Linked DNA regions of Sus scrofa. The protein of the gene in region 1 interacts with the protein of each later gene in a pairwise test. Links are inferred from orthologs where the notes say so. Each region holds a gene or a part of one and is shown in the gene's direction. Other genes may lie near its edges.

Region 1 (4,195 bases):
GCCCAGCCTCTGGGCACGCTGGGTACCATGCCTCACAGCCACGGGGAGCCAGGCAGCTGGAGTTCTACACCACCTCCCTGCCCCTCTTCTGCTCAGAAGCCTGCTTCTGAGCCAGGGAGCCCTCGGGTGCTTTGGGGTTACCATGCGTCCAGGAAGGAAGCCCCGAGGCACAGGGAGCAGGTTTCCCAGAAAGCAGCTTTCAGAGAGCAGGACAGGTGTGGGTGGGCTCTGGTGGGCCCTGCTGTTGTGTTCTCTGGCCCTCTCGCTGGCTCCTCATGCCGATGTCACACCCACATCAGGAGTGGTGATGGGCTGAGCTATGGGCTCCTCTGCAGTTGGTCTTGGGCCCATAGAGATCCTCAGCATCTTCCTGTCACTCCCTCTGGGCTCCCTCACCTTCCACCAGCACTTTTGCTGACCCAGACTGCTTGCTTGATGATGTGACCAGACTTTTGTCCCTCTTGGGTCTGAGCCCCTGGTTGCCATGCCCCCATCAGGCCAAGGTTGCTGATATCACCAGGCACGGAAAGCTGCCCAGTGAGTGCCCAGAAGTAATCCTTCCTGTCCCTACTTCCTCCTGGTTATAAAGGTCATTCTTGCCTCCTGAATGAGAAGAGTCTTTAGATTTAGTGGAACATTTTGTCCCCTGGCAGAGCATCATTTGCTGCCGCAGGTGTCAGGGTTCTACTTCAGACAAAGCATCACACGCTATAAGGTTCAAAATACCTCCTGCATCCCATAGAACAGCATAGCAACCCTGCAAAATGTTACCCCAAGCCAGAGCCACAGCTGTGCCTTTGAGGCCGTTCTAATGTTCTACCAGGGTGGCAGCTTCTGAGTGTGTGATGTTGGGGCAGAAACTGTGCCTCCTGTGTTACTGTCTCTTTTGTCAAACCCTACTCACTCTCAAGGGGGTCCCTGCTCGAGGCGATTAAAGGGGAAATTCCATGACGATAAATCAGACACTGTGAGCAACTGCAGTGATGCTTGCCAGAGCCCTTGCAGGCCAGGAAGACTAAGCCGAACCCACATCTGCATCTAGGTCTGAGCCAACTCCCTTGCCACCCAATGGCTGGCTGACTGCAGGGAGGGAAGCCACCGTCCACCGGCAGCACCTTGGCCTCGGCGTCCAGAGGACGCACGCAGCGCGCAGCTCCATCGCTGCCCCTTCGGCTACTCTATTCGCGAGGCCCGGTGTCCGCTGGGACTACGCGCTGGGGTAACGCGCAGAGCCGAGAGGAGAGGAGCAGCGGCGGGGCACAGGAGCAGCCACCGCCAGGGCTCGCCACCGCTCACTCCGGAACACCGGGCGCGCGGCTCTTCCCCCTCAACCCAAAGGCCGGAAAACCGCAGGCCCTTCCGCTTCCGCCGCTTCCCCGGGAGGCGCGTCACTTCCGGCCGGGCCGCGGGGGGCCGTCCGCTGTCAGGCAACCCGTTCCCTCTGGCTGGGTCTGGACGGGCGCCTTTCTGTGTTCGAGGCCAACGCCCCGCGGTGCCTGCCGGCTGAACCCGAACGGTGCCCACGCTCAGGGGGCCGCGAGGCCACGGTCCCCGAGTGTCAGCCCGGGGCTCCAGAGGGTCGGAGTCGCGGCCGGGTCCTTCGCTCCCGCCGGTCTCCCAACTCCCGCCCCCATCCAGCCCCCAAACCGCGGCCATCCGGCGTTCGGCGCTCGACTGCGCGGCGGATCGACGCCTTCGGCGCTCCGGCGGCGGAAGTGAGGGCGCTGAAGGCTGGGCGGCCTCGGCCCGGGGTCTCCTGCTTGAGCGCTGGGTCCGTGCCTGCCTGTCTGCAGGTAGGTGTGGGGGCCGAGGTCCTGGCTGAGGGCCCGCCGGGGGTGCAGGCGGGAGGGCTAGCCACCGCCGTCGGCCTCGCGCCGCTCTGCAGCCCTTACGGTGCGGAGGGGCGCCTGCGGGCGTCGCGGAGCCCTGCCTGGAAGCCCGGCGTGGGCCTTGGGAGTGCCGGCCCGCAGCGGGAGGTTGCACTTGGCCCTGCTTGCGTCCTTACCTGTCACTGCGCAAGGCTTGAGAATTTACGGGTGAAGAGCGAGGAAGAGGCAGGCTTTGCTTGTTTCTTAGGTTGCACCACTGGAGAGCTCTCCCGGGTGCCGTCACTGTTTTTACAGATTGATTGTGTTGTGCCCATTTCACTGGCGAGGAAGCGTTAGATCAGGGTGGTTACGGAACTAGTGTGAAGCCGGGCAGTTACTCATTGTTTAGCAGCGGCGGAGGCAGCGTAGTGAGAGCATCCGAACCTGTGCTCTCTTTCTCCTTCCAGCCTGGGCCTGCCCAGAAGGGCAAGGAACAGTTCGCGAAAGAGCTTGTCTGAATGGAAGGAAGCTTTTCTTAATCGCTAAAGCGTTTCTTAGTCGCTGAAGAAGACGTGTGTCACTTGTTTAAAAAAATGAGTAAACTTACAAGGAAAACTTAAAAAGTATTGTAAAAACCACATTTAAATTAAGTCATTCGGGTGCTCTATAGTGAAAGCTAGTTTTAGTTGAGGTCATGTGGACCCCTCTTCCAATGCACAATAATATTTTGATTATACTCTGGCCAGGCTTTGTGTAACGACACAGGAACTGGAAGCCAAAAGCTTCCCAAGGAACATTTGTGTTAAAAGTTGTTGACTCAAAAGGAGGTAATAGAAAGAGGATGATGTGGGCTTAGTACTTAAATGTTCTTTCTGTTTGGTTAAGTAGAAACTCTGTAATTTTAAACAGCGGATCCCCCAATGTAACTTGGAACAACTCTTGGAAGTTTCAGAAAGTGACTTTTTCTTCTTTTCAGGTACTTAATTTCCTGAACTGAATATTATTTTGAAAATGATACTTCTCTAAAGATGATTATTCACCTCCAAAGTTAAATTTTCATTCATTCCACAAATATTTGAGAGCTGGATATATGAATCTGATGAGAAATGAAATTAGTACTGAAACGTGGCACAGGCGGTCTTTTAAGAAAGGATTTGGGACAATTTCTAGTGTCAGGGCAGTGGCATCCTTAGGCTGGGTAGGAAATGCTCGTACAGTTAGTCTCTCCAGGACTTTTTCATCCATTCTCCAGTTTACTCATCTTACCTGGCCAGAATTCCTGGCCAGATTGAAATTTTCTGACTCAGTGAATCCTGGAACCACTTAGTACTGCCCTATCCTTGTGTTGTCACAGAGTGGAGCTTAAATGTTATACTGAATGGATGAGTTTCAGGGCCCTGTTGAGTAGAGAGGAATTTTTTTTTTTTTTTTTTTTTTTGGTCTTTTTGCTTTTTCTAGGGCGGCTCCCGTGGCATGTGGAGCTTCCCAGGCTAGGGGTCTAATCAGAGCTGTAGCCCCCATACTATGCCAGAGCCACAGCGATGCGGGGTCCGAGCCGTGTCTTCGACCTACACAACAGGTCACGGCAACACCGGATCTTTAACCCATTGAGCAAGGCCAGGGATTGAACCTGCAACCTTGGTTCCTAGTCGGATTCATTAACCACTGAGCCTGGCAGGAACTCCGAATAGAGAGGATTTTGAAATTGACCAGAATGGGAACTAAGGATGGCTCTGCTGAGCAGTGTGCGGTGCATTGATTGTTCCCAGACCCTGGGAGTGTGTTCTTGGATTCCCTGGTGAGATCACATGGTGGAGTGTTCAGTTACAGTCCCCGTGATTCAGTGCATGCTCATGTTGGTTTAAAAGAATTATTGATGCAAACACAAATTTAGAGTCGTCGTAGAGAAATTATGCATCTTGCAGCTGTGGCCACACCCACAGGCATCCTTAGAATTCAGCTGAGTCAAAGCACCATATAGTGGGCTGTTACCAGCCCTGCTTTGTAGCATGGGCTGTTCTACTTGGTAGCGTCTTCGGGCTTTAGTTTCCTTATATCTGTTGTCAGAGAATACCTAAAACTAGATTATCTCCGAGTTCTTCCTGCTTTGAAATTTTCTGACTCAGTGAATCCTGGAACCACTTAGTACTGTCCTATCCTTGCGTTGTCTTAGGGGCCGTAGATATTGTTGGCATTTACGTGTAGGTCAAGAAGACTAAACTCTTGCCCGAACGGGATTAGTCTTAGTCACTTTTGTATCTCCCAGTTGGAGCACAAGCCTGACTGAGAAGAGGGTATTTTTGCTTCTTCCACTAAAGAACAGCGAGAGCTGGGCGGCAGCCCTTAGGAATTCAGAGAAAGGAAGGGTCTTTTGGGGCTGGAGCAAT
Region 2 (3,500 bases), on another chromosome or scaffold:
CCAGAACTGCCTAAAGTTACGGAAGGTGCGTAACACCTCTTCATTTTATTCTATTCCGTGTATTTTTATTACTTGCCATTATTATATACTGTTGGTTGCATATTTTATGAAGTTGTGTGCAGGGAAAATTTTATTACTTCACAATCCATAAGGTAATAAAAAATAATGATAGTATTCATGACTCACTTCCAAAGGACTGTTTTATGGAGGTGAAAATACTTGTGAGGCAGTTATGATCATTTAAAATATTTGTTTAACTACTTACTTGGGTAAGGAGCTGAACAGAACGACCTGGGCTTTCCCTGCCCCAGCGGCTCAGAGGCTGTCCAGTTCCACACTGCCTCAGAGGATGCTAAGCTTGGTTCTGCTCCCTGAAAAACTTTGATGTGTATGCTGTAATCTGCCTGTGCCACAAGTTTTAGCCCCTTCCTTTTTTTTTTCCTGGGACATTATGTAAATCTGCTGAATTACCATTCTTAAGAGTAAATCATTCTTTACTTTGAATTAAGTGGTTTTTGTACTAGGACAAATTAATGTATGGCAAGTCATGCTGATTGTAAATATTCATTTTCATGTGAAGTCATGAATATTTAAAACATCCAGAGTTTGTGATTTAAATCGTGGCCCATGAGTTAATGAAAATCAGTAACTTTATGTCAAGGTTTATTTAGGTATAGAATTAGTTTTTTCACTTTACCTCTCTTCACCTCAAAATTTATATAAAATCTCACATGCTGTTTGTATTTTCTCAAAAAGTTGAACTGAAGCATTAATGATTCAGAAAGCATCTCCAGATTTGACCTCTTGGTCTTTTGTTGTGAAGCAGGAAGACCATTTATATTTTTGCAATTTCACACAGCCACTTTGTTGTTGCGCTTCTTACAGTACAGCTATGGAAAGTTTCTACTAGCTTATCTTGAGAAATTTTATTAATGCTTGCAAAATATTTTTAAACAAAGAAAAGGAAAATTCCATTAGTATTTTCAGTGCTCAAAATGTGAATCATAGATGCATTTTTAATTTCAATTGAAAATTATTGGGGAAAAAAACCAAAACATAGCAAAAGACAAAAAGAATAAAAAGAACAGAAGAAAATTTTACCTGGGAAAAAAGAAAAGCAAATTGTTTTTCCTGTGTCCTGACTTCATAATCATTTTGTTAGAGCGACGGCCACCTCAGGTAGGAAAAGGGGGGTTAGGATCGCTTCCCCATGTTTTCTTCTTTCTGGTTCTATATTTGTTTGGCAGTTTAATTATGTTTTTGGAAATTGTGACTAAGGCCTATTTTAACCCATCTGTAAACTAGACTGCATGCTTTTTATTTGTTATAATAAACATTAACATATGGGTTCTTCCTAAAAAATTTTTTTCATATGTTTTGAATCATTCGTTCCTATTTTTCAGCCACTAAATGTGACCTGTGCTTATAACTGACCTTTCCTACAAGAACTATTCTGTCATCCTTCCTACTTTTTTACTACTGCATTTTTAATTTTTACCTTTCTTAAGAATCTGTTCCGAGCGGAGAAAATCAGAGTGTGACAGGAGGCGATGAAGAAGCAGTGGATGAGTACCAAGAGTTAAATGCAAGAGAGGAGCAAGATATTGAAATAATGATGGGAGGCTGTGAGTGTGCAATTTCTAATGCCGAGGCCTTTGCAGAAAAGCTGTCCAGAGAGCTGCAGGTGCTAGATGGGGTAAGCCCTTCCCGGAGTCTGAGATGGGTGCTGCATGGCTGGTGGAGGGGACCGGTGACGTTCAGATGTTACTGTGGCAGCTCGTGAGCCTGGCTGACTTTGCTGTCTTTCTCTGAAGGTGTATTCCCAGGTGCCATCAGTCTTGCACTGTTCTTGTTCAATAGACAGAACCACTCCTTTTGGGCCACTGAAGGCAGTTGGCTGAGGTTCTGGATTTGGGGAGTTTTCGTGATATGAAGTAGTAGAAGTAAGAAGTAGCTAGCCTGAAACTGACTTGGGGGTTGATTCCCCAGCCTCTGGAATGCCTCAGGGTGGTTTAGTGCAAAACAGTATTTTGTGATTTAGGAAAAAAAACAAAAACAAAAACAAAAAAAACAGGTACAAGCTAGAAAGAGAGAAATTGGGCTGAAAGCAGTGAATCATTTTTTTTACCCAAAGAGAGCAGAACAGTGTGGTGAAAACAGGGGAGCAGTAGGGAGGATGCTTGACTTCTCTGCTGAAAAGTTTGGAATAGCTCCTCTTCAGTTGTAGGCACATCTCTAGGAAATAAAAAGCTATAGTAGCAGCAGTACTTTGTGAGAAAAGTCTAAAACAAGAACATTTGGGGTTTGTTTTGTTTTGTTTAGATAAGTTTTGCATTTAAGAAAACCTCTGAAGATAATCTGAGAAAAAGAATGTATATATATGTATGTATATGTATATGTATGTATATATATATGTATGACCGGCTCTCTATACAGCAGAAATTGGCCCAACACTGTAAACCAACTATATTGTAATAAATTTTTTTTTAAAAAAGAAAACCCCTTAGAGAATAAGGAATATTTTAAAGACTTAAAGAAATTTGACATTTTATACATGAAAGCATGTAAAAGTTAGGAGGTTAAACTCAGGCTCAGAGGTTACACGAATAACCCAAGCTTACAAGTTTATAAAACTCTCTGGAAGCAAAGCCTAGAAGAAGCTTCAAGATATGAAGATGGAAATGGTCCATTCGGGCCCCCGCATGGCCACTTACGATGCCAGCAGCTCTGAGCCCTGCTGACTTTACAGTTGGGCTGCACCTACAGTTGAGTCACTGTGAATAGTATGCAGAATAACATGTGTAGAATTACCGTTATTAATTTAGGATGATATCCCTTTAATTCTTGTCCAGACTTTTTCTTCATATCATGTTATCTGCCTTCTTTTTTTTTTTTTTTTTTTTGCTATTTCTTGGGCCGCTCCCGCGGCACATGGAGGTTCCCAGGCTAAGGGTCTAATCGGAGCTGTAGCCACCAGACTACGCCAGAGCCACAGCAATGCGGTATCTGAGCCACATCTGCAGCAACCTACACCACAGCTCACGGCAACGCCGGATCGTTAGCCCACTGAGCAAGGGCAGGGACCGAACCCGAAACCTCATGGTTCTTAGTCGGATTCGTTAACCACTGCACCACGACGGGAACTCCTATCTGCCTTCTTAATGTGGCTTAGTGGTTTGTATTTTCTTTTCTAGTTAATATTGCATATATGTTCCAAGCCATCATATTGCTTTGCAGTTTAATTTTTTATTTGAAAGCTTCCATATTTCAGGGAATTCAGAATCAATAGTCAGAATCATTTAGAAGACATTAACAAGGGTTTGTTACTGCTTCGCCTAGGAGAAGTAGTCTCAAATGAAAGAAAAGAAAGAGTAGCCTAGAAGGAGCCATCTCGGGGCCTTAGGCTCCTCTACATCCCTATGCTGCAAATCCTACTAGAGTCATAAATGAGCTCCATGCATCCTTCAGAGGCAGGTGTACTCCTGCTCCCCTCGTGACGG
Region 3 (3,500 bases), on another chromosome or scaffold:
CCTGCATAGTGTTCCATTATGTGGATCCCTGCTCTGGGCATTCCCGTGGTCTGTAATCTTTTGCTATTGCACGTGGCACTACAGTGGATAAGCTTAGATGTACCTGTGTAGGTGTTTGTGTAGATTAGATTCCTAGAAGCAGGATGAGTACTTGTCTCAATCATTAGTGTTGCCGTATTTATCTCCATAAAGGCCGCACTGTTCTCTGTTCCCAGTAGCAGTGGGCAGGAGGGTCTTTTCCCCAGAGTATGTCGTCAGACTGTGGGATTTTTGCCAGTTTGGTAGGTGAAAAATGGTATGGCAAAGATAGTTACAATTTTTATTTTCTTTATTAGTGAGGGTGAACCTTCTCTCATATGTTTAACCATCATATGAATTCATTTTTCTATGAATTGTTTATATCTGTTGCCACTTTTCCCCACTGGATTGTTTATTTATTTATTTTTGTCTTTTTTGCCATTTCTTGGGCTGCTCCCGCGGCATATGGAGGTTCCCAGGCTAGGGGTCGAATCGGAGCTGTAGCCACCGGCCTACACCAGAGACACAGCAACTTGGGATCCAAGCCGCATTTGCAACCTACACCACAGCTCACGGCAACACCAGATCCTTAACCCACTGAGTGAGGCCAGGGATGGAACCCGCAACCTCAGGGTTCCTAGTCGGATTCGTTAACCACTGAGCCACGACGGGAACTCCGCCCCCACTGGATTGTTGATTTTTTTCTTTCCCCTCCTTGTTTCTAGGAACTGCAAATACATGGCTCTTTGTGATATTTGTTTAAATACTTTTTCCCTGCTGTCATTTGTCTTTATTTATAGTGTGTTATACCATACAGAAGTTTTAAAACTTCTTATGGAGTCTAATTTATCAATTTTTTCTTTTTTCTGGCTTTGGATTTTGAGTGATAATTAAAAAGGCCTTCCGGAGTTCCCATTGTGGCGCAGTGGTTAACGAATCCGACTAGGAACCATGAGGTTGCGGGTTCGGTCCCTGCCCTTGCTCAGTGGGTTAACGATCCGGCGTTGCCGTGAGCTGTGGTGTAAGTCACAGACGTGGCTTGGATCCTGCGTTGCTGTGGCTCTGGCGTAGGCTGGCAGCTATAGCTCCGATTCGACCCCTAGCCTGGGAACCTCCATATGCCGCGGGAGCAGCCCAAGAAATGACAAAAAGACAAAAAAAAAAAAAAAAGGCCTTCCCTCCTTCTAGGTAATAAGGGGATCTCAATACCCATGTTTTCCTCAAGTACTTGAGGGTCTTATTTTTTACACTGAATCTTTGACGCATTCGGAGTGTATCATGTATAGTTATTGAAGCCTCTTGGTACCTCTTGACATATTACTTTTCAGATGTGTTTTTTTTTTAATTTTTTTTACATACTGATTTTTATTTTCATAATATGGTTTACAGTGTTCTGTCAGTTTTCTACTATACAGCATGGTGACCCAGTCACTCAGATGTGTTTTATACTTGGGTAGATTATGAACAAGAGCTCCTGTCCCTTACCCTTGCTGGTGCTTGTATTACAGTTTTCCACAGGAGTGTTGCCAAGTGTTCTGCTTTCTGCTTGGTCTCCTCACCTGTAAAATGGGACTATCTGCTCTGATTGTTTAAAAACAAAATGAAAAATGAAAAATGGAAGAAGTGAAAGCAGCAAAGAAGAAAAGTATTGCATAAGGAGTTATTTGTCCTTTAAGAGTGCCTTGCACATAGTATGATAATTATGGGCCCTCAATAAATACTCCATTGATGATAGGCAAAGTACCCATGTACGGAAATATATTCTTTGGCAAATTTTATTTGTCTTAAAACTATTCTTGGATGGAGTTCCCGTCGTGGCAGAGTGGTTAACGAATCCGACTAGGAACCATGAGGTTACGGGTTCGATCCCTGGCCTTGCTCAGTGGGTTAAGGATCCGGCATTGCCGTGAGTTGTGGTGTGGGTCGCAGATGCGGCTCAGATTCTGCATTGCTATGGCTCTGGCGTAGGCTGGCAGCTATAGCTCTGATTTGACCCCTAGCCTGGGAACCTCCATATGCCGTGGGAGCAGCTCAAGAAAAGGCAAAAAGACAAAAAAAAAAAAAAGCTATTCTTGGAGTTCCCATCATAGTGCAGCAGAAGCAAATCTGACTAGTATCTGTGAGGATGTGGGTTCAATCCCTGGCCTCGCTCAGTGGGTTAAGAATCTGGCGTTGCCATGAACTGTGGTGTAGGTCGCAGATGCAGCTCAGATCTAGCATTGCTGTGGCTGTGCTGTAGGCCAGCAGCTGCAACTCTGATTAGACCCTTAGCCTGGGAACCTCTGTATGCCTCAGGCAGCCCTGAAAAGCAAAACAAAACAAAACAAAAAAACCCTCCCCAAGACAAAACTATTACTAATTATGCTGTTTATTTCCTCAGTTCGTAGAAGACTATGAACCCACCAAAGCGGACAGTTACAGAAAGAAAGTGGTTCTTGATGGCGAGGAAGTCCAGATAGATATTCTGGACACGGCTGGCCAGGAGGACTACGCAGCCATTCGAGACAACTACTTCCGAAGTGGGGAGGGTTTCCTCCTCGTGTTCTCAATCACAGAGCATGAATCCTTTACAGCAACTGCCGAATTCAGGTACGTTTGGAATGAAATAGCCTTCAGGAGGCCCTTTGCCTGCCTTCCTTTTTTTTTTTTGTTTGGTTTTTTTTGGCCACCCACAGCATGTGAAAGTTCCTGGGTCAGGGGTTGAAACCATGTCACAGTAGCAACCTATGCCACTGCAGTGATACCACCAGATCCTTAACCCACTGCGCCACAAGGGAACTCCTGGCCTTCCTTTCATGTCTTAGACTTGGAAGGAATTTGGGGCTGAGTATAATGGTCCAGGGTTGAGCTTGTTAGGAAGAAATCTGTCTAAAGAATTTTCTGGGGCGTTTTGAATCATGGTTCATTATAGTTCATCATTTGTTATAATCTCTTGAGGCTTCATAGTTTGTTTTTTTAGCCATGCCCACGGCATGCAGAGGTTCCTGGGCCAGGGATCGAGCCCTGGGCCATAGTAGGACCTGAGCCACAGCAGTAACATCACCAGGTCCTTAACCACCAGGGCATCAGGGAACTCTGAGCTTTCTGGTTTTATAATTTCCAAATATAAATGGTCTTAAGACTCTTCTTGTCCCTGAAGAGGACAAAGCCATTGCTTGTACACAAGAACCTGTCATTGTTTTCATAGACATCCTGAGAGAGAGATTGACGAGAGTTAACTGTTTTTATATTTTTCCTAATTTTGCTAGAGGAGTAACAGTTCTGCTCTACTTTAAGGCTTCTGAAACCTCAAATGTCAGGCGAGTGAAAGTTGTGGGTCAGAGTGCCCGTTTGCGGCTCCTTTGGAGACATTTGCATGGAGAGAGCCCTGCTTTAGATGACACAGACCTGGGTTTCAGTCCCTGCCCTGCCGCAGTGTCAGGACCCTTGGCAGCTTTACTTAGCATTCTATTGATGTGTCTGAAAATGCTCTTATCGGCTGG

What was found. The genes of interacting proteins can lie anywhere in the genome.
Region 2: the proteins of EXOC2 (region 1) and EXOC1 interact in binary tests that used the Homo sapiens proteins (3 or more experiments, as listed by UniProt). The link is inferred for Sus scrofa from reciprocal best matches to the Homo sapiens genes EXOC2 and EXOC1.
Region 3: the proteins of EXOC2 (region 1) and RALB interact in a two-hybrid assay, tested with the Homo sapiens proteins (2 studies listed by BioGRID). The link is inferred for Sus scrofa from reciprocal best matches to the Homo sapiens genes EXOC2 and RALB.

What each region holds. Positions count from the first base shown.
Region 1 is NC_010449.5:338,652-342,846, reverse strand, and holds the start of EXOC2 (exocyst complex component 2), read left to right. Parts: upstream 1-1,395; 5' UTR 1,396-1,793; intron 1,794-4,195. UniProt on the Homo sapiens protein: Component of the exocyst complex involved in the docking of exocytic vesicles with fusion sites on the plasma membrane.
Region 2 is NC_010450.4:55,206,391-55,209,890, forward strand, and holds part of EXOC1 (exocyst complex component 1), read left to right. Parts: intron 1-4; coding exon 5-25; intron 26-1,508; coding exon 1,509-1,696; intron 1,697-3,500.
Region 3 is NC_010457.5:31,073,438-31,076,937, reverse strand, and holds part of RALB (ras-related protein Ral-B), read left to right. Parts: intron 1-2,398; coding exon 2,399-2,607; intron 2,608-3,500. UniProt on the Homo sapiens protein: Multifunctional GTPase involved in a variety of cellular processes including gene expression, cell migration, cell proliferation, oncogenic transformation and membrane trafficking.